Coturnix japonica: one gene and its partners. The protein of the gene in region 4 purifies or fractionates together with the protein of the main gene of each other region. This does not show direct contact. Links are inferred from orthologs where the notes say so. Each region holds a gene or a part of one and is shown on either strand. Other genes may lie near its edges.

The links.
Region 1: the proteins of NCBP3 (region 4) and ALYREF purify together in Homo sapiens (affinity purification with mass spectrometry; 4 studies listed by BioGRID and IntAct, with this or other methods). This does not show direct contact. The link is inferred for Coturnix japonica from reciprocal best matches to the Homo sapiens genes NCBP3 and ALYREF.
Region 2: the proteins of NCBP3 (region 4) and THOC7 purify together in Homo sapiens (co-immunoprecipitation; 3 studies listed by BioGRID and IntAct, with this or other methods). This does not show direct contact. The link is inferred for Coturnix japonica from reciprocal best matches to the Homo sapiens genes NCBP3 and THOC7.
Region 3: the proteins of NCBP3 (region 4) and THOC2 purify together in Homo sapiens (co-immunoprecipitation; 3 studies listed by BioGRID and IntAct, with this or other methods). This does not show direct contact. The link is inferred for Coturnix japonica from reciprocal best matches to the Homo sapiens genes NCBP3 and THOC2.
Region 5: the proteins of NCBP3 (region 4) and THOC5 purify together in Homo sapiens (co-immunoprecipitation; 3 studies listed by BioGRID and IntAct, with this or other methods). This does not show direct contact. The link is inferred for Coturnix japonica from reciprocal best matches to the Homo sapiens genes NCBP3 and THOC5.

What each region holds. Positions count from the first base shown.
Region 1 is NC_029533.1:4,444,658-4,450,606, reverse strand, and holds the start of ALYREF (THO complex subunit 4), read right to left. Parts: upstream 3,799-5,949; 5' UTR 3,709-3,798; coding exon 3,478-3,708; intron 3,287-3,477; coding exon 3,155-3,286; intron 1,076-3,154; coding exon 928-1,075; intron 834-927; coding exon 770-833; intron 617-769; coding exon 439-616; intron 1-438. Other genes in the region: ANAPC11 (anaphase-promoting complex subunit 11), read left to right, coding at 3,884-3,992, 4,213-4,358; NPB (neuropeptide B), read left to right, coding at 4,500-4,697, 4,974-5,102. UniProt on the Homo sapiens protein: Functions as an mRNA export adapter; component of the transcription/export (TREX) complex which is thought to couple mRNA transcription, processing and nuclear export, and specifically associates with spliced mRNA and not with unspliced pre-mRNA.
Region 2 is NC_029527.1:10,989,572-10,995,349, forward strand, and holds the start of THOC7 (THO complex subunit 7 homolog), read right to left. Parts: upstream 3,869-5,778; 5' UTR 3,778-3,868; coding exon 3,759-3,777; intron 3,458-3,758; coding exon 3,340-3,457; intron 2,434-3,339; coding exon 2,306-2,433; intron 1,988-2,305; coding exon 1,901-1,987; intron 646-1,900; coding exon 588-645; intron 1-587. UniProt on the Homo sapiens protein: Component of the THO subcomplex of the TREX complex which is thought to couple mRNA transcription, processing and nuclear export, and which specifically associates with spliced mRNA and not with unspliced pre-mRNA.
Region 3 is NC_029519.1:14,648,804-14,654,910, reverse strand, and holds the start of THOC2 (THO complex subunit 2), read right to left. Parts: upstream 3,883-6,107; 5' UTR 3,775-3,882; coding exon 3,713-3,774; intron 1-3,712. UniProt on the Homo sapiens protein: Component of the THO subcomplex of the TREX complex which is thought to couple mRNA transcription, processing and nuclear export, and which specifically associates with spliced mRNA and not with unspliced pre-mRNA.
Region 4 is NC_029534.1:3,968,358-3,974,139, reverse strand, and holds the start of NCBP3 (nuclear cap-binding protein subunit 3), read left to right. Parts: upstream 1-2,371; 5' UTR 2,372-2,464; coding exon 2,465-2,671; intron 2,672-4,323; coding exon 4,324-4,389; intron 4,390-4,928; coding exon 4,929-5,034; intron 5,035-5,782. UniProt on the Homo sapiens protein: Associates with NCBP1/CBP80 to form an alternative cap-binding complex (CBC) which plays a key role in mRNA export. NCBP3 serves as adapter protein linking the capped RNAs (m7GpppG-capped RNA) to NCBP1/CBP80.
Region 5 is NC_029530.1:9,925,633-9,930,939, reverse strand, and holds part of THOC5 (THO complex subunit 5 homolog), read right to left. Parts: intron 5,215-5,307; coding exon 5,137-5,214; intron 4,819-5,136; coding exon 4,778-4,818; intron 4,270-4,777; coding exon 4,170-4,269; intron 3,865-4,169; coding exon 3,756-3,864; intron 2,341-3,755; coding exon 2,239-2,340; intron 2,112-2,238; coding exon 2,015-2,111; intron 1,815-2,014; coding exon 1,700-1,814; intron 1,234-1,699; coding exon 1,130-1,233; intron 1,038-1,129; coding exon 950-1,037; intron 838-949; coding exon 722-837; intron 607-721; coding exon 416-606; intron 142-415; coding exon 78-141; 3' UTR 1-77. UniProt on the Homo sapiens protein: Component of the THO subcomplex of the TREX complex which is thought to couple mRNA transcription, processing and nuclear export, and which specifically associates with spliced mRNA and not with unspliced pre-mRNA.

The DNA of each region.
Region 1 (5,949 bases), on a different chromosome or scaffold from region 4:
GAATGAAAGAAACCATGTGCACTGCTCTGCTCATCCACCTGCATTAGGGGTGATCAGCATCATTGACTTTTTTTCCTTTCTTAGCACCAAGCTGGTTATTTTATGTGTTTTTTCTTTTTGCTTTTCATTTTTCCAGCCTATTATCCCTTTGGGCTTTGGTTCATAGCTTTCGTTCATCACACATCTTGATTACTGCCAATTCTGGTTGACACAGGCTTCAACAAGCCAGGAGAAGTTGGAAAAGGGGCTATTTATTACTCATGAGTAACAGTAGATGTGGAGAGCTAAGGCAGCTGAAGGAACAGGGCAATGCTCAGCTTTAGAGGGAGGCTATTTAAGTCAAATGACCTGAAAAACAATTTCTCTTTCCAGCCAGCTGCCAGTGTTTATCAAAAGGACGCTGTAGGTACCCGTGACCATCATGTGAGCAGCACTTACCCTGGCATTGTAAGCATCCAGCTGTGCATCTAGTTCTTCTGCAGAGAGCTGCTGTTTGGAAGTTCTTCCAGCCCCTCTGCCTCTCCCTCTGCTCCCACCACGACTACCTCGCCTGGTACCTCCACCACCAAATCCTCCTGTACCACCACGGTTTCTGGTCATTCCACCTCTGTTTACACTGTGATTTTTAAAAAGCAACTGTTATAGTGCATTCTGGTTAACCCCAACAGGCACTCAGAAGGTTGCAGGACACGAGGAGGATTCCATGCTTCCTACACAGGCCAGTTCACTCCCCGTGCTGACTGGCACAGCGACTCCCGCGGCTTCTCACCTCTGTGCTGGTCTCCTCTGTGTATCTATCTGTGATGTAACCAGCTGAATGTTCATGGGGCGCCCTGCAGGAAAAGCAGCCAGTTACCCTGTGAGTGTGGCAGGCACACAGATGCCATCAGCCGTGCAGAGAAGCACACGACAGCCACAGAGACTCACCATCCAAGGGGACTCCATTGTACTGCTTCATAGCTTTCAGAGCATCTGCTTTCCTTTCAAAATGCACATCTGCTGTTCCTAGACTGCGTCCGGATCTGTCGTAGTGCACTGCTGCCTTCTTCAAGGTCCCAAATTCCGCAAAGAGTTCCTGAGAAACAGAGGGAGAAGTGAATATGCTTCAGTCAGCTCTGCAAACACCGAGCAGCCCAGAGAAGGTGCAGGCAGCTCCTGCTTTCAGCAATATCATGTACATTCCATGACACCACGCAAATAGCACCAGTGAAAGAAGGAACACAGGCCACTAAAGACTTCCAGAAAGCAGCCACAGGTGGCAGAAACAAACAGGATTTCATATCCACCACTTGAAGGGTGCTTGTATACAGCCAACAAAGTGGCCCCAAGGTATGCTGACCTGCTCCTCTTCCCAGGGACATTGCCAGTCTGTATAAACTGAAAGCAGGAAATCTTCTACTGAAGAGCATCGTTTACCATCACGAGCGATGGAAGGCTGCAACAGTGGAGCCACCCATTTTGTTTCACAGAGGCTACATCTAAGATGTACATCTGGGGACATCTCACTACTTTGCAAGTTTATACCTACACCCCACTCTTCAAATGTTTGAAGCACACAGAATTGTCAGGTGTCCAAAGCAGACACCACAGGCTGCCTTCCATATCACCTGCAGCAGAGCCCAAACACTATTCCAGCCATCTCTATAATTCCTATCCAAGCATTTGAAAGGAGCATATAAATATTTTCACTTCTTAAGCCAGCTGCACTTTATGCAAGCCTGTCAGTGAGTTTCTCTACTGTGTCCATTTACTAAACATGAACATACAGCACCCAACAAGCTTTCTGGAAGACAGCACCACATGGGAGGAGAGGTGCTCCATCACATCCCTGTCCTGCAGAGAAGCTGGAGCCACAGCACCACACATACTCCTACAAGAGCAACGTGAACGAGGCTCCCACCAAGCCCCTCATTCCTCAGCACTGAGCTGAGCAGAACCATATTAATGACACAATCAGCACAGAAACAAAGAAAACAATCAGTGCAGCTTAGTGGAAAATTACGGGATGGGCAGTAACAAAGAGGTACAAACCCATTAAGTCAGCTTTGCTGCTACATATAATATACACAGATGTTTGTCTGCTCCTGCAGTTCAAGCCAACTGTGAAAAGGAAACATTCAACTGCCACACAAAACACATTAATTCCTTACATTGAGATAACTTTACAGATTCACTTTTACACGTTTGGGCCTGATTACAGCAAACAGGAAATGTATATCAACTGAAACTAAACTCACTTGAGGAAAAAACAGTGGTTTTAAGTGCATCGCTCAATAACTAGGTGACCTAAAAAAGCTCACTTCCAATACTCCTGATGCAGACAGGTTGAACCGGAATGAATTAACAGAAGAAAACATAGAAGTGATTTAGTTATTTTTTTCTAGAGGAGATGCAAGGACCAGAAACCATCCAAAGCTCTTTGCAATGTGACTAAGTCAGGAAAACCCTTCAGATTGGATGCTCCTTGGATCTGCAGATGTTTCTGCACAACTTGTTGCCCACAAGTAAGAGCAGCCCCACAGCTGTGACTGCTGTGTCACAGGCACAGTGACTGCAAACAGCCTGCACCCAGGGCACAGCTGGAACAAGGGATTGAGCTGCAGCTGGTAACTCAGCTAGAACATTTATCTGTCATAAGATACATGTGGTAATTGTGGAAATGACAACATGAGCGAGCAGGTACCCCCTCACAGACCAGACTTCTCAATATCACTGGTGCTTCTATAAGAACACCTTGAGACTGAACAAAACTTTAACAAAAAGTACATAAACAGGTACTATGAAAACAGCGCCAATAGATGTATATATAGAGCTACTGAACGTCTGGAATTACACAGACCTTAAAAGCTCACACAGCCTGTGCTAAGCTCTGCAATCACAGCAGGACTGAGCGAAGGCAACATCCCCCCCACAGCATCGTGGTAGAGATATTTCATATGTGATTACCTACAGCTCCATAAAGACTGGGACTCTTCTGAATCCAGCCACTCCAACTGCTCAGCTCAGAGCCCCAGCAGTGCGTGAAGCAAAGGGCCAGGCACCGTGTGAAGGGCCCTTCCAATGGGAGCAGGGCCAGCAATGCTCTATGGCCACCCCCAGCACCCAGCACCGATGGAATGAATGAAACCCCCCGGGAACAGCGCCGAGCCCGTACCTGGATATCCGCATCTGAGACGCCGAAGTCCAAGTTGGAGACGAGCAGCTTCCCGCCGGTCTCCACCCCGGCGCCGGCCCCGAAGCCGCTGTCGAACAGATCGTGCTGCCACTTCTCGGGGAGCTGCTTCGGCTGGAACGACACGGACGTTTCGCTGAGCGCCGCCGGGTCCCGCCGGGACGGCTCGACCGCCGGCAACGGACAAAGGGCCGCCCGTCCCACCGCCCCCGCCCCGTCCACGAACCGCCGCCCCCCGCCCCGCACACCGGCCCCCTCCCTCCGGGCCCCGCCGACCGGGCTCCGCCCCCGCCCCCGTCCCGTACCCGGCTGTACGGCGCGGGCCGATTCCTGCCGCCGCCCCGGGCCATCACCGGCCTGTTCCTCACGGGGCCGCCGCCCGCTCGCCCGGCTCCCACGCCGCCCCGACCGGGCCCGCCCCCGCGGGTGACGCCGCCTCGGCCCCGGCCTCCCCGGCCGCCGCCCCGACCGCCGCCGCGTTGGCTTCGGTTGAGCTTAATGATATCGTCCAGGGACATGTCCATCTTGTCGGCCATGATGGCGGCTCCGCTCCGGGGCCTGCGCTTCCGGCCGCGCTGCGCCGACGCCGGAAGCGGAAGAGGCGGGACCGGCGGGCGGAGGCGCGCGTTCAGATTGGCGGGGCCTCGTGGGGGCGGCGGGCGGTACTTCCGGCGGGGCGGCGCGGACCGGAGAGCGGCACTTCCGGCGGCGATGAGGGTGAAGGTGCGGAGCTGGAGCGGAGTCGCCTCGTGGCTGTGGGTGGCGAACGACGAGAACTGCGGGATCTGCCGCATGGCCTTCAACGGCTGCTGCCCCGACTGTGAGTGCGGCGGGGCCCGGCACGGTACCCGGTCCGGTACCGGGTATGGTACTCGGTATGGTACCCGGTATGGTACCCGGTCCGGTACCCGGTATGGTACTCGGTATGGTACCCGGTCCCGTACCCGGTCCGGTACCCGGTCCCGTACCCGGTACTGTACCCGGTATGGTACCCGGTCCGGTGCGACCCGGCCCTTCCTGACTTTGTGTCCACGCCGCAGGCAAAGTGCCCGGGGACGACTGCCCGCTGGTGTGGGGGCAGTGCTCGCACTGTTTCCACATGCACTGCATCCTCAAGTGGCTGCACTCGCAGCAGGTCCAGCAGCACTGCCCCATGTGCCGCCAGGAGTGGAAGTTCAAGGAATGATCCTCCCCGCCTCCTCCCGCCGCTCCGGTCCCGGTTCCGTGGGCGGGGAGCGGCGCTTTCCCTCGTGCTGCGCGGCGGGGGCGGCCGCGGCCATAAAGACCCGGAGCGGCCGTTCCGCAGCGCTGCGCCCCCGCCGGCACGATGCGAGCCGCCCGCTGCCTGACTCTGGCTGTAGCCGTGATGCTGCTGTGCCGCCCCGCCGCGCCCTGGTACCGGCAGGCGGCCGCTCCGCTCTCCTACCCGGTGGGCAGAGCCTCGGGGCTGCTCTCCGGTCTCCGCCGCCTGCCCTACAGCCGCCGCTCCGACAGCAGAGGTGCCGCTGCTCCGCTCCGCACCGCGGTGAGTACCGGGATGCTCCGCTCCAGGAACGGGCTGGTACCAGGAATGCCCTGATTCCAGCAATGCCCTGATTCCAGCAATGCCCTGATCCCAGCAATGCCCAGATCCCAGCAATGCCCTGATCCCAGCAATGCCCTGATCCCAGCAATGCCCTGATCCCAGCAACGCCCAGATCCCAGCAATGCCCTGATACCAGGAACACCCACCTGCCCGGCTCCGCGGGCAGCCCTGCTCCAAAGTTCCCACCCAGGAATCTCTGTGATACTTTCCCCACAGGTGCCGTGTGTGATGGATGTGGACCCCAAGCTACGGAGCTGTCGGCTGCTATCGGGAGTCCCCGGTGCTCTGCAGTGCAGTGTGGCTGTAACCGTGTCCTTGGGCTCCACAGAGTGTGGGGGGGCCTGAGGTGGCACGGTGACTATAGTGACAATAAATGCACGTGGAATGGAAAGATGTTGTCTGTCCTTAAGGGGAGGGAAGCCTTTGGGGTTGGGGGGAGCCCACCAGGATCTGGGGCACACAGGGGTGCCCTGAGCAGCAGTGCCCACCCAGAGCTGTGTGCCCTCTGGAATGGGTGGGAGTTTGGGTAGTGCCACAGGCACTGGGGGATGGAGCACAGCTTGGGGCCCCACTGCTGAGCTTAAGGTGAAAAAAAAACAGTGCAGGGAGAAGGAATCCATTGAAATTGATCTTCCAGTGCGTGGAGCAGCCCAGCTCTGAGCACAGTGCCTGTGAGCAGAGCTGCTGCAGTGGGAAAGTCTTCCACATGGCTGAGGATGAATCCCCTACCCCTCCCTGCCATGTCTTCAGTTCTCTGAGTGATACAGGAGACAAATCTGAAGCTGGGGGGTGTTGTACAGGTCAGGGTAAGCCAAGCTGAGGAAGGATTTTACCCTGGGGTGGGAGATGCTCTGGGCTGAGGTCAGGGGAAGCCACACACTGACCCCCAGCAACACCAGCACTGCCACTGCTGAGACTCAGCCTCCAGGTTTGCACATCTACAGGAACTCATATCAGCACTGACACAGCCTCAGCCCTGCAGTCCAACTGTCCTGGTGGGACAGGGATGGTGCTTTTGGTTGCCCATGGCTGTTCACATCCCTGTCCTGCTGCCCCCATATTTGCCTGCAGCAGGCAAAGGCCCAGCCCCAGGGTGCAACCCCAGCCAGGGCAGCACACAGCACCCAAGCAGGCACACACAGGCCCTGGGGCCCTTGAGCAAGAGACAGGGCTGAATAGGCTGCAGACTGAT
Region 2 (5,778 bases), on a different chromosome or scaffold from region 4:
GTGATCCAAACCCAGCTGTGACATGTAATACAGGAGGTTATATGCAGGACGAGTTGGACAACAGGTAGGTCTTACCTACGTGTCAGGGCAAGTTATATTGTGGTACACAAGGTAGTAATTTATAACCAGGCATGCAGGAACAACTACTAGAAGGAAAACACGGAACAACTCCACAAGCTTTCTCTTGCTTTCTCTAATTCTTATTCTATCTTACTTGCCTGTGTGATACACATTCTGCATGATTACTTGCTGCTGCACTTGACAGCACTGCCGCGCTATCTCTCTTTCCTGATCAACTTGTCACTGATAAACTGTCGTGCATTTACATCTGAGTTCATCCATTCACCTTAACAATGGAAAAACTTCAAATACAAAATTATTAGTAATGCTTCTGAACCCATACAGATAGAGATCAAAGGAAGAAAGCTGATAAGGGCACAATTCTAAAATGAAACACAAGTTTTTCTTGCATCAAAAGAAACTATGAAACAGGGAGGAAAAGGTCAAATAGTGAAACCAAGAAAATGTCAAATCTGCTGACTTTTAATTTGCTGGTTTATCATAATCTAATGCAGTCTTATACTTACTTCAGTGTTTCGTGTCTGTCTGGATGGTGCTGTATGACTTTGGCCAATGCATCGTATTCTGAAAGAAATTTAAGTATTACTAGTATAAGTTCTGAAGGTAGCGATATAAGAATACAAAATCTCCCATCAGCTCTTTCTACTTCTTAAAAAAGTGTTTTAATGTTTTCCAATCTCTACATAATATCTTGCATATAACAAAGGAACAGTCAAGCAAAAATGTATAATAATATAATAGAACATATCCAAGTAGATGACTAGTGTTGCTTTTATATATAATCTAATATATATATATAATGTATATATAGAAAAATCTGTGGATAGGATACTACACAGACATTTCAGATTTTTAGAGAAAAATAAAATGCTGCAAGAGAAACAGCTTTCTTCCACTTTGTTTTGTACACAAAGAACAACATGATGGTTATATAGACAGTTAAGGTGGACAGTTCTTGAAGGTACTATTCTATGTACACTAACCACCACATTCAGATGGAAAACGTGGGCAGAACATCTTCAAAAGCAAACACTTCAGATCCGTGCTTGTGAAGATTTAAGTACTCTACTTTCCTACTGCTTAAGGCTTTTTTCAGTCTCTAATAATAGAGTCTAACATTATCCACAAATCATATGTGCATGTGTTTTTAAAGGTTTTAAAACCTTTCACCTGTTACAGCTGGTCTTTCTTTCTTTCTTTTCAACTATTTTTACATTTCACTTTTTAGGAAGCAAAATTTTACCTTCCCAATTGCTAAATTTTGATAAGACTTACAGGGCAATGTTTTAAATTTCAACTAAAAATATCAGTATGTCTTTTAAGGATAAGGAACAGATGTCTGTAATACCTGGTTTAGAGGTATTTTGCAAGGCCATGTAAAATGAGTATGCAACTGGTACAACTGTTCTTGTATTAGGTACTACTTTTCCTTCTAAAGAGCTGAAGGAATATACTTATATAACTTTCAGTGTTGGTTGTAAGCTTATTTAACTCTTTTGTCTTGCTGCTACTAATGTGCTTTAGTTCTTAAGCCAACTGAATTGTCAAAGGATGCTTGGGAGGGTTTCTTTGGCTTGAGAACACCTCTGAGCTACTCTCTAAGTTCTCCTCATGTTACATCACTAAGATTTACTGCCTTAACCTCAACAACCAAACTTTCAGCAGTCTGTGTGGAACCTACCAGATAATGCTCTATGTAGCATCGATGGAGAGCATTTTCTTCTGAGTTTTCAAGAAATATGTCATCTGTTTTCCAGTACAATGTATTTTAAAAGATAACACATTAATAAAACCACCCAGTGTAGATAATGCTGCTTACCCTGGCGATTCTTTCTAATTCTTTTTGCTTGCAGGATTTGTTTCTTGCATTCAGAAATCTTCTCGTGTGCTGCAGCTATACTATTTTCTTTAACAGAAAGACACAAATCAAACAACAAACGCCATCAATCCATTCAGCTAAATCATCACAAACAGCACTTTGTATTTTATACTGCCTGCTATCTCCACGGGCTTCAAAACCATCTATGCCTTGACAGACTAAAAACATATTTTACTTATACACATTTTACACACTGACAAAACACGAGGGCAAGTATGAGTGGTATTAAAATAGTTTTTCTGTCACCCATCTCATGTTTACATTTTGTTTATCAGAACTGACTTGAGTTTCTTTATGAAAGAGAAATTCAAATAAGCATAGAATATTTTTTTTCTCATTTTTTACCTATATCCTTGTAGATCTTTTCATAATTTTCCATCTCTCTCAGGTTCATGTCATACACCAGAAGAGTTTTTCCCATTGAAAATTCACACTGCGATAAAGTACTCAGCATTCGTTGGTACTGACTGTAACTGAAAGCAAACAAGACATTTATTCCTCAGCAGCATGAAAATACCTGCCTGTTTTTATATCACGAGGAAAATGAAGCCTCAGGTAATGTACGGAACAGTTAAAACAGCAATTACTAAAGCAATAAAGGACTTCAAAGATTCAGTGCACAACTGCAAAAAGTACAGTTAAAAATGAATGCTGCACCGATTAATTTTATCATCATAAAGGTATAAAGCAGCATTACAGCATGGGCAGATTGCTCCAGGGATGATACTCTTCCCAACTAGAGCCAGCTCTGTGCCCACCACGATTAATATTTTAACACTCCAGTGCTTCTCTGTGCACAGCATCATCACAGAGTGCCCTCCTGCACTCCAGCATCGGCACAGACCCTACTGCAGAACAACATGTTGCTTAACCTTTAGTTCTTTGGCCTGTTTGTTTTCTTCTTTCTTTTCAGGGCAGTACAGCAGAAGCAGCACAGCCCCCACCTAACAGAACAAATGCAGAGCCACCAAATGGAACACTCAAGTCGTGATCCTGCTGTAATAATGGGACTGCTGAATCGTGAAGCAACGTGCCAACCTCCAGAGCCTTCGCTGTTAGATTTCAGGATGGTTTGCTCTGTAATTTTTGACCCATCTCCAGTGCATGTTTCTTGCCACAGCTCCTGGGCTTTGTCCAGAGAACCACACAGGGCTGAACATAGCAGAGATCATAGAATGGCTATGAATAGGACTGTAATGATCATCTAGTTTCAACCCCCTCCTGTGTGCAAGGTTGCCAACCACCGGAGCCCAGAGCCACATCCAGCCCAAATGGATGCATTTTAACACAGTTTACTTTCTTTGTCTAAACAGATGCTCAGTTTTATGCTCAACTGCAAAGCAATGAGGTTTCAAGACTTAAAAACAGCCAACAAATACCCTTCCTCCTGAGATCCAGAGTTACACCACTTGATGAAACTCTTCACCAGCAGATTGATCCGCCTGTCGTCCCCAGCTCCGTCTCCATCAATGAGAAGCCGTTTGCGGATAACTTCATCTGTGGGAAAAAAAACAACTCGTGTTTAGCGCTCCGTGCTGGAAGCGTGTGGCACGGCAGGAGCTCACCCAGCAGAATGTGGGTGAAATAAAACGCGTTCAATACGCGGGGCCTGGGATCGGCAGGGAGGCTGGGCCCGAGAGGCCCGATGGAGCCCCAGGCCCCGGCACTGAGCGCAGCGGAGCGGCCTGGAAGCGCTCCATGCGGGGTGAGGCCGCCGCGCAGGGGTGCGTGGCTTCCCCGGGGTGAGAAACCCGGAGCGGGGACAGCGAGAGGGAGGGCAGGAGGGAGGAGGTCTCACCGTCGGTCACGGCCCCCATGGCGGCGAGCGGCGGAGCCGGCGGGGCGGCGGCAGCAGCGAGTGAGGTCAGCTTCCCACAATGCAGCCGGAGAGAGCGGCGGCCATGGAGGGGGAGGCGGCGGCGGCGGCTGGGGCCTGAGCCGGCTGGCGGCGAACGCGCGGCCCATCGGCGGGGAGGGCCGGCCGGGAGGCCCGCACCCCGCGCGGAACCGGCCCCCTGGCGAGGGGCGGCCCCGCCAGGTGAGAGGCCGACGGGGGAGGGAAGCGGAGGTCCCCGCGCCCGCAGCCAGGCTCCACCTCCCAACCACCGCGCCCACGACCCCGCCGCCCCCCTCCTGGGCCGCCCCGCCATGCCCTCGGCACATGGCCCTCGCCCTTCGACGCCTGGCATCGAGGCGTGGGGCCGGCGCTGTGGGCTGAGGGGAGATGGGCTGAGCGCCTCGGGTCACGCTTGGGATGAGTCCCTGGTGTGTGGCTTGACACAAGAGGCTGAGCATTGGGGCAAGGGAAGGATGTGGAATGTTGTTCCTGAGGTGTTTCCTGGGGTGCTGTGCTGTGGGTGGTAACCAGAGCGGGTTGTTCCTATATGGAAAAGTGAACCGGTGCTGGGGTGTGCCGGGAGAAAAGAGGTATTAAGCTGTTGGATGAGATCAAGTGTTGGGTTTTCGCCTTTTGGACCAAAATGTTGACACCTGTGCCATGCTAAAGTTGATAATGTTACTTTAAGATACATTGGTACAATAATGATATGTGAGATGCATGTCCAGGCCCTGACATCTTGGCATTACCTTCTCCTCTTGGTTGGACACTAAGTACATGCAGACTCATTCTGCTTGTTGCTGTGTATTAAGAGAAAATGGGTGTAAGGAAGAAAGAACCGTGTCAGCATGTAGTGTCATCTCCATCTTCCTGGTTTTAGAGCCCTGAGTGACGACGGGTTCTTTTGTTCTGGATAGAGATGTATAACAGGGGTTTACATATTACTAGATTGTTGCAAGCCAGCACTTTGACTTGTGAAGTGGCACCTGGTAGGTTCTTTGCGAGGCACTATTGGGAAGGGCTACAGAGAGTGGTCATTAAAGCTCCATCTGGATTGAAGGTATTTCCAGTGTAGAAAAACTGGGTAAATATGCTGCTTTCTTGATATTTTTATGTATCTCTGCGTGATTTGTGAGTGATATAATTTGATGTGAAAAGTGGCGCTTTCCTACCCTACTTAGATCTCCTATCTTCAGCATCTTGGAGCATCCTGGTCTTATCAACACTTAATACTATTCATGCCATTCTCTTAGCTCTTTCCTTTTCTACTGTGATGAGAAGTTGATCAGAACTGTTGGGTGTTGAGGGTGCGAACTGTCAGTTATTTGTTTAATAATGCAAGAATACGTCTGTGTCATTTTCTGCCATTTAATCTAATATTTTCCCACTTATTGTTTATCATTCCAGTGTTGGTCAGATAGCCTTATTCAGCTCTCCACAGTGACAAATTCCTGGAGTAATTAATTTAGAACACAACAGTCCGTATAATTAGTTAATAATTTTTAATGACTTTTACGCCTTTCTTGTCTTCATTGGTGTCACTGATTACAGCATTCTCATAAATGCTCTGTCCTGGGTCTTATGGTAAGAATTTAGCTGTTATTTTTTCATTCTAAGACAGAGCTTTCAGGTATCATCAGTGTTCATCAACTTTCCTGTTTCAAAATGGGAACTGGAACTTGCTAAACACATCATGAAGAATCTCACTAAGGCTACATATTGATGTTAAATCCTGCTGTCTTTGCTCTTCTGTCTTGCCACGAGGTGTTTTGCCTAAGAAGCCAGTTCCAGCTTGCTGGATTTCTATACTCATTGAGTTTTCATTATGTCTTTGGAGTCTTCTTTCAGTTCGCTCCACTTCCAAGCAGAGTTCCTCATCTTGTAAGTATAAAACAACCTTTGTAATACATGTATGGGGTGCATGTTGCGCTAGGCTGTAGCCAAGGATGTTTTCTGCATTAATTCAGTGTTTGATGTAGGT
Region 3 (6,107 bases), on a different chromosome or scaffold from region 4:
TGCACATATTATTACCTCTCCAGCAGCACTAAACAACTGTACCAACAATCAAACAATAATATTATGCAACTGCAAGGCATACGCACCCTTTAAACACAACTGGAACACTGTTAGCTTTATACATGAACAGGATACAGTCATAAGAAACATGCAACCTGAGCAAAAAATGATGCCATGGTAAAAAGAAATCTCTAATGGAATTGTTTATAAGCTCAGTAAACAAATACCAGTACGGTGAAACCTCTCATTCTACAGAATGATCAGCTCATCAAGAAGTCAGACACCAGTGTATAGGGAACAATAAGGAAGACAAGGCAGAAGCCCTCTCAACCAGTACCAAAAAGCCATGAGATCAGTTCATCTGGTCTTAGCTGAGTACAGAAGATAAAAATCAAAACATTCTTACACAAGAATACCAGGCATCAATACCTGCATGATCAACCAACCAAGGAAAAATAACTACAATATTTTCCCACTTAAAGCCCAGAAAATGGAAACTTACCAGGTGCAACTTTCAGTTCAATAGTCCAAACGTAAAAGGTTTATGACTAAGCTCATTTCTGCGAGTTTAGGATGAGGAACTTCCCTACTCTACTACATTCCACAGGAGTATAAATTATGTGATAAATCTGATGTGCAAATTGAGTATAGAATAAGCCAGGAAGTAAACATTACAGAGCAACCACAAAAAGAACCAGTGCTGAAATATTAAAAAAAGTTGTTTCGGATGAAGACAGGGCTATGTTTGTTTAAATAACAGCTCCAAAGTTCTGTAGTGCTCAACACAACTACTTTGCACAACAGAGCCAGGAGTCAAACCCAAGCCTCCCAATTCACACACAACATCCTACATACACAATTACACTCTCACACATAGCATATGGCAGTTACCATAAAGCACACGTGACTGCAAATATTGAGGTATATGCATAACTTAACTAATTCAGGTGGCTCTTCCGTTGAGCTGAAACACACAACTGCATTTTGCAGTCGTGATGGCCAAACTACAGCTGAAGGCTGCTTTCCTGACTCTCAGCCCTCTAATTGCTACTCAGCACTATGACACACCTCGTGCACATAAAATAACAAACACTGTGGGAGGGTCAGAAAGATCGTGTCTCAAAATCTCAATTCACTGAACAGTGAGCTTCCTCAGTTCATCCTGTAGTTTAACACATAGTATAAATGGCCATCCAAGAACACCACTGAAGTCCTGCTTATCCCTTGAAGGATCTTCAGTCTGTTTTATCTGTCACACACACAAAAAAAACAAGCAAAAGCAATTCCATAATACACATGCAATGACAAGCGCTTAATCAATGTTCCTACATGCCATAGCCATACTGCAGCATCTTGCTGTGGAAGGGACTATAGAAAACAACACTAGTTCAATACAAAAGGACAGTATGTGTATATACAAATAGGATTCTAGACCGATTGGCACACATGCCAACTCAACCTCCACACAGCATCTTGCAGTAGCAAAACAAATACAATTTAAATGATGTGTATTTAGACAGAAAAGGACCTGAACAAAAAGAAAACACTAACTAAAAATCTTCAAAACTAGCGCACGATCTACGTTCATGTATCCATATTAGATATTATTACACATTGGCAGCTGGGTTCATTAAATTGGAGGAGCTCAACAGTTTCCAAGGGGTGCACAGTCTCTATAACGGAAGCTCCAGAATGCCACCTTCCCTATTCATACCCATTCACCTTACCCTGGGACATTCCAGGCCACACACAAACCCCTCATCTTTAGGGTTTGGGCCATTACTGCCAAACTACGAGGACAAAGTGATCACATCAATAAAATAAAATTCACTATCTTCCATGGGAGATAAAGAAAACATAGAAGATAGTCAGTCAAAAACTGATTTTATTACTGCATTTCCTTAGAAACAACTCTGCTTTTTGTTTTCTTTACAAGTAATTTTTTTCTCTTTTTTAATAACAGGACATCCAAAATACTACAGTCATATTTTAAATCCTGTACGTTTTACATCATAGACAGACCACTACGACACTATTCAGGTCTATGTAAGAAAACACACCAGCAATCACCTTTAGCATTCATTAGTAACTGCAAAGCAAGCCAAAACACTAAAGGCAAATAATTGACTTTTTTCAGTGTGCTGCCAAAACACCGACCCAGGCTGATCTAATCAGGTCCTGTATGATATTCCAGTAAAAAAAATATTTCTATTTAATTTATATTTCTGGGGCTTTGTTTTAAGTTACCAAGTCAGTAAAGCAAGAAGCATCACTACATCTACTTACCTTTTACTTTAGCATTTAAAAATAGCCCCCCCCCCCCAGAAAATATGCTTACAAAGTTGTCTAGAATAGTGGCTACAGATGCATTTACTTGTGCCTAGAAAATAATGCCATGCATATTTCACATTCATAAAGCTGGCAACTCTTATCCAGCTGTAGTCACACTTCCTTTAGAAGTGATGGCTTTTCTCCCAAGCTACTGTTAACACCACATCAGAAACGGTGCATTTCATTTGGCATAAGGGCCACAGTACAGGAATGTCACTAATATAACTGCCCTAAGGATTGTCCAGCTGTTGGTGTGCAGTCATTGCTATGAAGTCAGTGCAAACCTCAGCACTACGTGGGGGCTCCTGAACACTTATGTTTTTATTGTTTAAAATTCAGGAACTGAACAGACTTCCTTTGGCCTTGTATCACATGTATTGAAACACGTTAACTCCAGAACAATTCAAGCACAGCAGTGACACAGCTATCAGAGGGCCCCTTCGTTACAAAGCAGAAGGTCTGGGGAACACAGAGTTGTATGCAGAGTCTCCATGTTCATTCTCTACCTCAAACATGGGGGCAATCATCACTCTAACTGCAGAATCTTTTAAAATACATGAACAAAAGAAAATAACAAAAGGAGCAAAAATACCACCAAGTGTTTCCCATAAAGCAATCCCCTAAATAGCTATATTTGAAGCTACAGAGCTTTTTCGGTTATAACAAAGAGCTGAAGCAAATAGAAAAGCCAAGATAAGATCATTTAAGAGAACACAGTAAATTGGTCGCCCTTGTTGACACTGATGCAGTGACAGAAAACTGACAACCTGGTGAATGACGTGTGAGCAAACAGCCAGACCAGAAACTGCTATAGACACAGATAGAAGGCCTTGAAAAACAAGCCCACAGCACATCTGGATTGATGTGGGAAGCTACATCCAGCCCCTTTGGTGCTCAGAAATTCTTCCCTATGATAACTAGCAACGGCTGCCCCTACCAAGCCACAACTAAAGGGGCACAGCACCAGGCACCTGGGAACGGGCAGAAAGATCGAATCCACGGTTAAACCCTCCACCAACGAGATCGGCATCGCGGGGCCGGTGAGAAAAGAATATTATAAGACGCCCCACATCCGCGGCCCGGCCCAGAGCAGGAGAGGGCGCTCAGGGCCCGTGGCCAGCCGAGCTAGGCCCGGCTACAGGTTGAGCCCGGCGGCAGCGGCAGAGCAGGCCCAGCACAGCAGGCCCAGCCGCACGTAGGAGGCCCGGCCCGGCCCCCGCCCTCGCTCCGCTTCGTCTCCCATCGCCGAGACGCGGCCCCGCGCTGCGTCCTCCCACCCGCTCCCACCTCCTCGCCCCCCGGCCCAAAGCCCCGCTCCCTCCCGCAGGCCGGAGCCCCCACGGCGCCTCGCCACCCTCCCGAGCCGAACCCCCGCACTCACAACTCGTTCCTGCCCCCTTTCTCCCAGTTCTTTATCCACTCGGCAGGGAGCATGGTCGCCATCTTCCCTGTGTGGCGCCGAGAAGCCCGGATGCGCGAGCGACGGGCGCAGGTCAGAGGGGACGCTGCGGCCCGCGAGGCACGACGGGACGGCCGCTCTGTGCCTTAGCAGGCGGGGCGCATAGCAACGGCGCATGCGCAGCAACGCCCCGCCCCTGGGTATGACGTTACAGGCCGGGCCCGTTAACGGCACTGTGGCGCATGCGCCGTTCCTCGTAACGCCCCGTTGTGTTGACGTGGGCGTTTCCAAGCTGCCATTTTCCTTCGGTGTAATAGTGTTTTCAAAGCATTGCCGTCCTCAGTTCCACATTTCTGGAATAAATATGTGAAATAAATAAGTGAAAAATAACGATAAAGCCACTGTATGTCACGCCGCAGTCTTGAGCCACCTACTTGTCCCTCCTGACTGAATAAAGAAGAAATCTGAATGTTTTTTCCCAAATTCATTAAAGAAAATGCCTCAGTTGGGCTCTATGGTAACAGCTGGATAGCAGTAGGTTGCTATTAAGCTTAATTGCAACTATAAGGCTTTCAAAGCTATGGTATATTATGCAGTAAATACACAGTTACAAGAAAATAAGTGTTAATCTAATCTTAGAAATATACATATATATGTTCATGATTTTCTAAACAAATACTACAGGTAAACGGGCAAAAAAACAGAAGAAAGAAAATGTCTGCACAGTTCATTTCCTCTAGAATAACTTTCTTCATGGATTGGTGTGACAAGGCACAACTTTATTTAGACAAGATTCCTAATAAACATTATCTTGTACAGCCTGTTTCTGTTTAGCTGGGCAATTGAAAAGAGAAGCGTTCTCACATAAGTGACTGCCAAATAGATCTTCTAAGACTTAGGGTTTTGTTTTTTGTAACTAGACTTAGTATCCACCAGCCACAGATTTGTCTTTGTCTTCTAGTACATACACATACTAGTACATACACTAGTAGATACATTCCTAGCAAGCGCTCTATCAAAGTCCATTATTAGAATCTCAGATATTAGTATTTAGAGTTTGAAAATATGGAGGAAATACGGGCTTTGCAAGTTTTGTAAGCGGAGCAGTGACAGTATCACTGACAAGGCAGCTGAGAGGCTTGCAGCGTAAGTTGGGTCCACTGCTGCTGAAAGGAAGAATTCAGTTTGGAGAACAGGTACTCCTGACCTCACAGCTCATCTTTCCTTGGATTGCCTGATGGCTGGGTGTCCTGCAGGATGGCCCTACAACATTACACTTATGTAGCATACACTCCATAGAACACTGTATTTGACTTTATGGTACTTTGCTGGCAAAACCCCTCAGGTATCTTTGGTACATCATCAGCCCTCGATCCTGCACATGAGAGGTCTGAGGCAGTGGCCATGATGGTGTCTGAGGAACTCTGAGGCAGTAGTGCTACAGTTTGTGCTCCTTTCACTCCTATCTGGGATGTGTTCAGAGAAGACTCCAGATGACTGGTTGGCTGGATGCTGCTGGAAACTCAGGAAGCCAAAATCTGCAAAAATTGCCTCTGCTTACCAGTAGATGCAGCTTGCAGGAGCTGATTAGTGTGGCTGCTACTGACGTTTGTGGGCCCTTACCTCAGGCACATGTGAGCAAGTGGTAGTGTAAACACTGTAGTTGCCTCACATTTGTTAATTGTGAAAGCTAAGAGTATAAGCATACTGAGAAAATATGAAGGCTTGAAGGTCAACCCTGCATTTGGTGAGTGAAACTCTTATCAACATGGTCCACGCACTCATTTGCGTTGTGTACCCCAGATATCAGGAATGTTAAAATGGAAGTGTCTGTGTCTAATGATAATAATGTAAGAGAAAACCTAAATTCCTAAACTTGGAGCTTGTAGACTGTTATACAGTCAAAGAAGGTATTTCTGACACTGTCAGTCCTGACTCTTTATTCTCAGTTCCAGATCAGAAAACACTCTCCATTGTTTCTCTGTTCTGCTGCTCCTTTTTCTTCTGGTATCTTGATTCTGACTAGAATCCAAAGGCAGTGTATTCTTAAATAAACTTGCCTTTGTTATGAATAATCATTGCACATATTGCTTGCATACACAGCAATATAAAGCATTCAAGGACTAAAAGCAAGTTTGCCTTTCTAAGATTTAGACAGCCATCTTGAGTTTCCCCCATTTACAAGAATCCTCAGACATCATCAATGGGATGTGGGGCAAATGAATGACCAGAGTGACCAATTAAAAGGATAGGTTTGTTCCCCATATCACCCCTCATTATGCCTATATTTCTCTTTCTCCTATTGGAACAGCCTGTGCTGAACACAAAGTAGGAGATAGGCAAGCAATTCCTTAAATGTGGCCTTTCTTGAGTTACT
Region 4 (5,782 bases):
TTAACTTCAAACCATTTCCCCGTGTCCTGCTATTGTCAGCCCTTTCCAAGAGTTTACTCCCCTCCTGGTTATAGGTTCCCTTCAGGTATTGAAAGGCTGCAATGAGGTCACCCCGCAACCTTCTCTTCTCCAGGCTGAACAAACCCAACTCCCTCAGCCTGTCCTCAGAGGGGAGGTGCTCCAGCCCCTGATCATCTTCCTGTCCCTCCATTGAGGATTCAATTCATTGTCTTTTTTCCTTCAGAGAGAAGCTGCCACCTGCAGTTGGTGCTTTCACCTTCCCAGCCAGCTGCATTTTCCTGCCTCACAGCTGTTTGCATGGAAAACCACTGGAAAACCCTTCCCAGGGAGATGTTCTGTGTTAAGTAGAGCCCTGTGGAAAAACAAGCTGTTTCTGACCCTGAGAAGATCACTGACCGCAGGAGCCTGCAGATAAAGTTGCTTCACTTCCATTTCTGCTGCAGGGGAATGTGCATGTGGGTGTATGCACCATTAAGAATTATAAGGATGGAGAAATAGGTACCAAGTTTAGATTAGCTTCAAGTTCCAGAGTAACATCTTCAGAGTCTGGATAACTGCATAGACAATTCCATTCCAGCTCTGCTCAATTCTATAAGCTTTTTTTTTTCCCCCAAAGGAATGTGTATTTTCAACTGTGTGGCCTCCATGTGGCAGCACTTGCATAAACATGGAGCACAGCTGCCCTTAACTGTGCAAGTGCATGTGCTGGCTCACAGCACCTTTGCTTTCTTGTGAGGCATTGGGAAGCCCTGTGACTGTCTCATGGAGTGGCTTTGGTATTGTGTTTTGTATGAACCTTCACAGTATCCCAATGGAAAAATATTCTATCTTACAGGTGGGAGGCTGCAGTTATAAATATATAAGAAAACACCAGGTGTTTGACTTATCAGATGGTTTAACAAATGAGCATCCTTCCTTCGCTGATCCTGTTCTCTCTCCAGATGGACTGTAGGTAGGAGCCAGTCATGATCTATTTGGAACCTAGAATGCCAGTTTCCCTGGTGACGCATGGAGTTTGCAGGATGGCTGCAGAAATAGCACACTTCTGTGCTCGGGTTTTTCATAGATTTAAAAAGCTGGAGATTCTTGTTGAGAATTAAATCCCAGCAGCAGGAAAGTACAGCCACATTCAGGGTAGTGCTTCACAGTCTTCAAATAAACAAGCCAGAAGTCTCTTGCAATGATAAAAATAATCATTTTTAGACTCCTGCCAGGCCAAGAAAGAAAGAAGAGAAGCTGCCTTTTGACTGAGAGTTGTTGTTCTTTTTCTCCTTCCCTTTTGTAACCCATCTTCCCTTGTTTCCAGCTGAACATCAACAGGAGCTGGATGGTTTCAGCAGGTTTCTTTCACAACTGCTGGCAGTTGGGAATATTATTGCAAGAGTTCCCTCTGGTGGTCACTAATGGGGAAATGAATAATACTTCCTCTCTAAGAAGCTTTTTTTTTATGCTGGAAAGATTTATTGTTCAGTCACTCTATTATTTTTAACAGCCTTTCTTTAGTTCTCTAGATAATGACTGAGAACCTTCTCCAGATTCCTGTTTCATCATTAACACTCCACTCCTCACTAGTTTACTACCACTGATTCACCCTTTCAGCACAAAAGCTGCAATAAAGGTGGAGCTTTTCTGCTCCAACCTGCATTCCTTCGTTCACATTTTATAGGCAGAGGATGCAGTCCTGAGCGCTGAGTGGAAAAGAACAGAGATGGAGACTTAGAAGAATGAAATTAGATCAGCTTTAATTGTGAAGAATTCACAGTTCATAATGAAAAGCTGGGAAGTATCAAGAGATTCTGCTCACCTATTCAGCAGCCAAAGCCTTGCATGCATTCAGGCCTGGTTTTCCTCCTCTGATTTGACTGTTCCTACATCATATACAGATCTAGATCCTTTGTATCCTTTCTGTATCCTTTATTTCCCTTATAACAGCATTTCTGTCACAGAAATCTTCCCTCTACTGATGATTTCAGGGTGTTTCTGCCCTGTTTACTTCTCATATGTTCACATAATCCATTCCCATCTGGCATGGAAATATCACCTGCACTGATATATATCACTTGGTGGTTCCTGTCAGGTGTTGGCTGGGTGATGTCAGCAATGGCAAAATAACTGACATTAACAACCTGCTATTGGATTTTAGAATCATTAAGATGGGAAAAGACCCCTCAGATCTCCAAGTATGGAATGAAACGTCTGTGGAAGGCAGTTCACTTCTGCCACCATCATTATAGGACGGGAAAATGGCGGCCGGCGGAGGGCCGAGGGAGCCGCTCTGTCTCCCCGTCTCTATGGCCGCCCTGAGCGCGTTGGCGCCGCTTCTGCAGCGGCTCCTGGCGGCGCTCTATCCGCGCTGCCGTCTCTGTGGTGTCTCTGGGAGGTGACGCTCTGCACCGCGGCTGGGCCGTCTCGTTGGCCGGGCGGAGGGCGGGCTCGGGGAGTCATGGCGGCCGTGCGGGGCCTGCGGATTTCGGTGAAGACTGAAGCGACGGCGACAATGGCAGAACCCCGCGGCACTGAGCCTGAACCTATGGAGGTGGAAGAAGGCGAGCTGGAAACCATCCCCGTGAGGCGATCGCTCCGTGAGCTCATCCCGGTGAGGGACGGGCAGGGGGAGCGAAGGAGGGACCGGCACCTGAGGGGGGGCAGGGTACGTAGGGGCGGCCCTAAAGGCACCGGGGGGTTTATGTGAGGGAACGGGGGGTGGAGGGGTCGGGAGGAGGGAAATGGGGGTGGGAAGGGGGAGGGGAGATGAGGGAGGGGGTGGGCAGTGGGGGGAGGTACGGGCTGAGGAGCTGGAGTGTGAATGGGATGCTCAGGCAGTGCGGGCCCTGAGGGTTTTTTTCTTGTTCTCTCATTTTTTGTACTCACTGTTCTTAGATAAGTTCAGCTATGGTCAGGTTGAATGTATGAAAGTGGGTCAGAGTTGATCTCCGCTCCTAAGTAGGCTTTTGTTTGGAAAATGCGTGTGGAAAATGCTTGAGGAACTAATCTCTAATTAGCTGCTTGACCAACGTGCTTCAGCTTCAACCGACCTCCCCTATGAGGACAGGCTGAGGGAGTTGGGTTTGTTCAGCCTGGAGAAGAGAAGGTTGCGGGGTGACCTCACTGCAGCCTTTCAATACCTGAAGGGAACCTATAACCAGGAGGGGAGTAAACTCTTGGAAAGGGCTGACAATAGCAGGACACGGGGAAATGGTTTTAAGTTAAAAGAGGGAAGATTTAGGTTGGATGTCAGGGGGAAGTTCTTCACTAGGAGAGTGGTGAGGCCCTGGAACAGGCTGCCCAGGGAGGTTGTGGATGCCCCGTCCTTGGAGGTGTTCAAGGCCAGGTTGGACGGGGCCCTGGGCAACCTGATCTAGTAAAGGTGTATGTTTGGTGGCCCTGCCAGGCAGGGGGTTGGAACTACATGATCCTTGAGGTCCCTTCCAACCCGGGTCATTCTGTGAATATGTGGCCTAAGAGACAGCACCCAACCGTATGGACTTCCTTGTGCTCCATCAGACACCTCCAGACAGCAGTGGTTTGGTTGTTGTTTTGTTTTGTTTTTTTCCAGTTGAAAAACGTTTATTTTGCTGTTCTCCGTTTAATTCTATTCCTGTTTTAAATATCTTGTAACTTTAAGGGAAGTTTGTTACTAAGAAAAGCTGTTGGGCTCGGTGTGTGACTGTTTTCTAACCGAGCCTGACCTACTTTTTAGTAAAAAGGCCTTTAGCCAAAATAATTATTGGAGCACAAGGGTAAGCAGCATATTTATCCTTAGACATAGCAAGGCACGTTGCTCATGTCACAAACCTTCCCTAGGAGATGGTTCTGAGGGTTCCAGAATGAAGCAGTTGTGAAACATGCAGACAGGACACAGCTGGGTCACTACTCCAGGGTTCGTGTTGTTCACTACAGGCTTAGGTTTCAGTGGTCTCCATTGGTGGAAATGAGTTTTATGTTTGTTCGTCAGTGCTGTCAATCTTCCTCTGGGTCTGTAGTCATGTATCAAACCAGGGATAATTTGTATTGCTTCTGCCCTGTTGCTGAGACAAAGTAAAAATGTGAGCAATTGAACAATTAATAATACAGCAGTTATTGCAGAAGCACACGTTTCTCATAGCAGAGGAATCTGGGTTCATTTGATGTGCTTTAACTCTCACTGATGTCAGTGAGGTTAAGTGCTCATATACCTGACTCTGTATGGATGTGTAGCTTGAAGTAAGGATGGATTTCTCATAGGCCAGATTTGTTTTAGCCTAGTGATTACGTTGCAGTCAGCATTCATTGAGTTTTCATCACTGTTTTGCTTTGTTTCAGGACACTAGTAGGAGATACGAAAACAAAGCTGGAAGTTTCATTACTGGAATAGATGTAACATCCAAGGTAATTTCTGTCCTGTGGTTCTTTGAAGTGTTTTAATTATTGCGGCAGGAAAAGAGGAAACACTTCATTTCTTTCCTAAGAGTCACAGAAGCTTCCTATTATGAAAACACAATAACTAGACAATTCTCCTTCATGTTGGTTGCAAACAACATCTGGGTGGGTTCTTGTGATTTCTAAGTAGCAAAATTTGTGTCCAAAACCTGAAAATGTGTACAAAGTCTGTACATTTGTTAGGAAGGAAAAATAAATCTTACTGTTCCATCATAGAAACTGGTCATGGGTTCAGGATATTTTATTTTCTACGCATTTTGATCCTCATTACGTTGCCAGACTTGCATTAGAAGTACTAAATAGCACAGTAACATGTCAGTGAGTTCTTTTAGTGTTCTGAAAGATACAGATCTCTTCAGAAATAAGAGAAATATTAACATAGCTTGTTGCTGCTTGGTCAGTTGTATTTTAATATCCAGTCTTATGATGTCAGTTGCTGGGAAGGCTGTGCTGTTCCTGTTTTGACTGGATCGTTTCACATTGTGCAGGAAGCGATTGAGAAAAAGGAACAAAGAGCAAAGCGCTTCCATTTTCGAGCTGAAGTGAATCTTGCCCAAAGGAATGTAGCTCTGGATCGAGACATGATGAAGAAAGGTATGATTTTATCCAGCAATTAAGAAGGAAAGGTCTCTTTGTTTGCTTCCTCACAGTTCCTTTACTTAATTTATATTGTTTTATCTCCTAGTGGCACCTAATGTGTGTGTGTCCAAGATCTGTCTTTGGGACCGATGCTGCCTTAAGTGTATTTAACATCCTTGAAAAGGCCTTAGGCACTGTTTGTATGCGAGTGTAGGACTCTGTGTCCTGTGCACAGAAAGATCAGATTCCATGAGTGATGGCACATGTGCTGTAAGATGGCAAGCTGGATGTGCTGGAGTAGAAGCAGATAAGCTGAGAGATGTGCACACACAACAGATAGGCATTTTTGGCATCCAGTTAGTTCCCAAGGCCTTTGTCCAGCTGGCAGCTTGGACCAGCTGAGCTGAGGCCTGTAAAATCTCTCCATGAGATTTGCACAAAACTTGTACTATGTCCTGGTCATGGGCCTCATTAGTATTATGCTCTTTGGTACGTAGTGGAAGAACTTTAGTAGCATTTTAAAGAAAAAAAGAGAAAAAAACCTGTGTAAGGCAGTTTGATGTTTTTCAGTCCCTTCACCTTTCTCTCTCTTTTTAATTCTCAGTTAACATTTTACATTGTGGAATAACTCAAATTCTGGTGTTGTAGAATGGTGAACATCATTCTTTTACACCTTTAACTTATTTTGAATGTTTGCTTTAGAAATCCATATGTTATGAACGTAAAAACTTGCTTTGTAGAAATGAGTGTCAGTTTTCTCTCT
Region 5 (5,307 bases), on a different chromosome or scaffold from region 4:
ATGATGGGAAGGGAACACTGCGGACAGGGTGAGGCTAAATCCCAGAGCAACGCCCAGGCACGGGAGCCCAGCAGGACTCAGCGGTGGCTGAAGAATCCCTGAGGGTAGTTGAACTTGAATGGCTTCAAGCGCATGGGGCCCCTGGAAGGGAAAAAGGACAGGTTGGCCCATGAGGGTCTGCTTCCATCCCAGCAGGCCCAGCATGCTGGTAAGCTCAGCACACTCACAGACAAGGACAGGTCCCAGAGTGCAGCTCGACTGTGCAGGGCTGACCCTCACAGGCAGCACAAGGAAAGGCTCAAAGGTGCTTTTCTGTCACCACATGCATGGACAGAAATGCCAGCCGGGTCCCTACCAGCACCCTCAGCCCCCTCCAATCCCTGGGGGGGAGGACAGCACAGCCCCAGGCTCTCACCTGACCAGGCGCAGGCACATTTTCTCCTGGGGGAACTCCTTGGGCCCCTCCACAGTGGTGTCGTGGGGCTCTGTCTCCAGGTAGACATCAAGCACCATGCAGAGGCGCTGCAGCTGGTTGGTGAGGAGCTGGTAGCCCGGTTTGGGCCCCCACAGCTCCTTGTAGCACACATTGACTTCACTCTCCATTGCCTGGCAGATACAAAGAGATCAATGTGTTACAAGCTTGGTTTTCTGTTCACCCCAGCCACCATTCTAACCCTTCCCAAAGGTACAGCAGCACTGGGAACACCCCCCAAGTGCTTACCCGAATGTTGTCATCGTTGCTGCCTGTTCGCTCTCCTTTCCAGTTCAGGCAGAGGCTGAAGATGGGCGGCAGTGCAGAGTAACCAGGATTCAGGACCACAGCTGCCTGGAGCTTGGCTGAGCAAGGCAAGGAAGAAACATCAACCACAGCCCATAGAGCCTCCCTGGTGTGGAGGATTCAGGCAGCTGCCAACTATTTGCCATTGCCGGGGGAAGGAAACACACTGACCTGTTCCCCTCTCTATCAGTGCCATGTAATAGAGATGAGTGTCTTCGGCCAGCCCAGCCTCCACCACGTCTTTAGTGTAGGGCAGTTCCTGCAAGGGGAGATGACAGGGAGTGAGCAGCTGCCGGCTGTGAGGCACAGCACAGGAGCTGGAGGGGATACAGCCTCACACCCAGCACCTACCGTGTAATCTTCGAAGGGGATGGCAGCCCACTTCACCAGGCGTGAGACAACCTTGGTAGGGAAGAGATGCTGGCACTCACTGGACACGGGCACCACGCCATGCTCTGGAACCAAGCACAAGGCTGAGCAGGGCAGGCTGGGGGTGAGCTCTCTGCCTGCCCCACAGGTGACAACAGCACTGGGACCTGGGGACATTCTTTTATCCTTCTGACATCTTAACCAGGCACCCAGAAAGCAGCAGCAGCTTCAAATGCAATTCTGCTGGCACTCACAACCTCACAGCACATGCCTGGTCTGCTCCAGAGGTGCTTCTCATGCTTGGGCATGGCATTTTCCTATCACCACAGCCTGAATAAACTCCCAGAGCCAAGATGGCTGGTCCCAAAGGGGTGCTGGACATTGAGAGGGGCACAGCCACCCTCTTACCCCAAACACGGAAACCTCAGAGCCCTGACGCCACAGAGTAGAGGGACAGTGGCAGTGCAGACCCACAATGGCCCTTCAATATGACACAGGTCAGGCAGTATTCCTGTGCAAGAAGATCCAGCCACTGCACACCCTGGCACTCACCAAGTGAAGCAAACTGCTTGTTGAGAGCCAGGCGGGACTGCAGCCTCGTCCGCAGCAGCTTCATGGTCATCTCCATGTGGCTTGCACTCAGAGAGTTGTCTGCAGTGACTGTATGCTGTGGGCAGGAGGGAACGTCAGCACCCTGCCAGGGAGCCAAGGGTGCTCCATGGTTTGGAGCGGGGGGTGCCAGCTGGAGTTCTGGAGTCTTAGGGGTACAGGATGGGACACAAGTGTCCCCAAAGCCCCCTCAGAGCCCTGCCAGCACAGCCCAGCATCCTGGTGGGGAGGGGAGGGAAGGGAAGGAGTGAGACGTGCCTGAGGCTGATCCTTGGGAAAATGCAGGCCGCCCAGCTTCTGCACCCACACATAGGGATGTCCCAGCTCTGTCACATAGTCACTCAAGGTCAGGATGCTGCAGGAACCAAGAGGAAAGGTCACAAACCAGAGCACTTTCTCCTCCGTGAATGAGCAGGCATCATCTGCATCCACCCTGAGCCAATGCCAACTAGAAAGACACTGGCTGCACGTGGTCCACTCACCCCACTTTGTCGAACTGGAATTGGTTGGCTGGGTTGGGGGTTTTCTTCCCATGGTCTCCTGGGTACAGGCAGCTCAGGAGGGAGTCTGGAGAGAGCAAGTCGCTGGCAGGAGAAAGGAATCATGCAGCAGTTCAGGCCTCACATCTTTTTGGGGCACTTGCTAACAGGCTACAAGCCCAGAGACTGGGGATGGATGACCCCCAAGCTGGGTTTCATGACCACAGTGGATTTCCCATAGCTCTGCTCTTGAAAATAGGTCTCTTCCCTGGTTGTAAAGAAACTGAAAATCATAGCATACCATCTCTCTGAGTTCCCAGGAACTGCTTAAAGGCACGCTGCATGAACTCTAAAACTACCAGCTTGTTGTTTGCCAGTCAACAAGCTAAAGTAAAATTCCCCTGCTAAAAAAGAATACATTTCTTCACATCTGACCATACCCAGAAGCCCTAGAAAGCACAAAGGGCTGTAGAGGATCTAGACTGGGTCACAGGAGACTCGGTGAGCGACATCCCTGCTACCACAGTGTCCCCTAAGCAAGGACCCTGCCTGCAAGGGTCTCACCCAGGAATGAATTGGGGCTAAGGGGACTCCTCTACATGATTCATCTCAGCAGGAAGGACACATATCTGCCTGTCATAAATGGGTTTGGGTTCCCACAGGGAAAAAGAACCCAGGAGGACTGGGAAGCCTCATGGGAACAGCCTGGGAGGCAGCACCTGCTTACAGGTAATTCCAGGCCAGCCTCCCCATGGGCAGGCTCCCAAAGCTGCCATTGCAGCCAGTTCTCACATAGATCAGGTTCAAGCCATCCCCGGGGAGCCCACAGAGAGGCAGCTGCATCACTTGCATCGGTGCAAGGTGACCTGTGGATCAAGCAGGTGAAAGGAGCTGCCAGGTAATGGCTGCAGGAGGGAGGAAAGCAGTTTGGCTGCAAGATGGCAACCAAAAGCAAAAGCAACAAGGAGGAGAGGTTCCCCTCCAGCCCTCCCTAACAGGTTCCCAGCCTGCCCTGTCCCTGGTTTTGCCATGAGGGATGTAGCAGATGAAGAGGAGGAGGATGCTTGCAACTGCAGCAGCTTGGCAGGGCTCCCAGAAAGGCCACGCTGCTGACAGAGAGGACACCATCAGGGCAGGGAAGATCTGCAAGGTGAAAGCACTCCTCACACAGAAGTGCAGGGGCTCTTTAGGGCCTCCTTACCATTAAAGGAGGACCAGGACAGTGCCTGGACACTACAACTCTGCACAAAAATATCTACAATGCCCCAGGTAAGGAGGAGAGAGACTGAGGATAAAACCTCACCCACCACACTCACAGAGCTGGGGAGGGACTTGCAGGGCATGGAGGGCTGTTAGCCTACAGCTCAGCAGAGGGACATTGCCACCACACACCACCTCTAGTGCCACATTACTGTGCTTATGAGACACTGAGCAGAGCTGGGCAGGACATCAAGGCAGGGTGACTGCGACCAGCCCTGGGCTCAGCACAGGACCCACACACAGCTCAGGGCTTTCCTCACCCAGCACTGATGGCAGTTGTCAGCTCAGCAGCAGTGGTCACCCTGGTCTTCACCGTCATTATGTTGAGGTTCATCAAGTAGTAGAAGGTCAGGTGAAGAACATTCTCATCTGTGCCAGCAAGGAAAGAGAAATAGTGCTCTATGCTCTGGTTTGGAGCACTTGGTACTCAGTTTCTTGTAGGAGGGGACACACGTTCTTCAGCTGCCCCTGATAGAACAGCAAGGAACAGGGAAGAGAGGCAACGTAACCAGTGCACTGTAACCTGGGCAGTGGGGACAAGGAAACATCCTCCACACGCTGCTCTCTGCAGATCTGTCAGGACCCTTCACACTCCAAGGACTGAGCTGTGGCCACGATGCTCCTTGACCTGCTCTCACACCCTTCTGTTCACAGGGCCACCAGCACCAGCTTACCTTTGCACTTCAGGTCAATGGTGACAGACAGTGGGTGCCGCTTCAGCATCTCCTTGCGTTTGTCATCCAGCTGCACACCCAGAGTGGGCCTGCGTCGCTTCTGGGGGGAGCAAAACAGAGCTGTCAGCCCTGTACCAGCACTCCTTGGGAGCCCTCAGCCTCTCCTCCTTTCACTGCCCTTCCCTTCCCTGCCCACCACTCTGAGTCCCAGTCTCTCTCTGCTGGTCTCCAACCTTCCCAGCTGGAGACTATTTATACAAAGTGGAGCAGCTCCAGCAGGAGAGCTGCAGGGCGGACACTGCTGCGGATGGGATGTGAGCAGGGCAGGTTTGTACACCAGCTCTCCTGTGTTCAGGACAGAAATTGGAAATGCAGCCCCTTTCCTCCCAGTGAACACAGAGTCCCCAGCTGAGGCCAGTTCTTCTTCTTTGGACACAGACAGATTTAATGCCAACACACTTCCAAACACTCTCGGTGTCCAAAAATGAGTCCACAGACCTGTTCAGGCTCAGAAGCCTCAGCACCTTCCATCCCACAGGTGCAAATGGATTTGCCCACACTACAATGTACTGAGAGAGGCCCCAGAAGGGGAGAATACTATTCCTTACCGTGGTCTGCTCCTCCTCCACGTCAGAATCACTCTCATCATCTATGCAAAGAGAGAAGTGTAAGCAAGTGCCATGGTATGGGAGTTTCCCCAAAACCATCAGGGCCACCAAGCCCTCCCTCTGAGACCACAGCTCTCCCAAAAGTTATCCTAATTCCTAGAGTAGGAACAAAGCAGGATGCAGGCAAACGGGGACATTACACCCTGCTCAAGAACATTCCCTCAGTACTAGGAGTCACAGTAACAGACAAGGGGCCATGAGCACCTCTCAGGAATGATGCAGGGACGAGGGGGATCAGCTGCATCTTCATATGTCCCACAACACAACCCCTATGGCTGCAGCAACACCACCCTACTCACCCTGCGAGTCCTCAGGTGGCTTGTACAAGGCTTTGGCTTCCTCTACACTGCCTTCGATGGCCACAGCAAGCTTCTTATCTATGGAAGAGACATGAAAACAAAGCCATGGATCCCACTCCTGTGCAGAAAAGACAGTAAAGGTTACAGTGCAAGCTACCAAGGCTGGAGCTT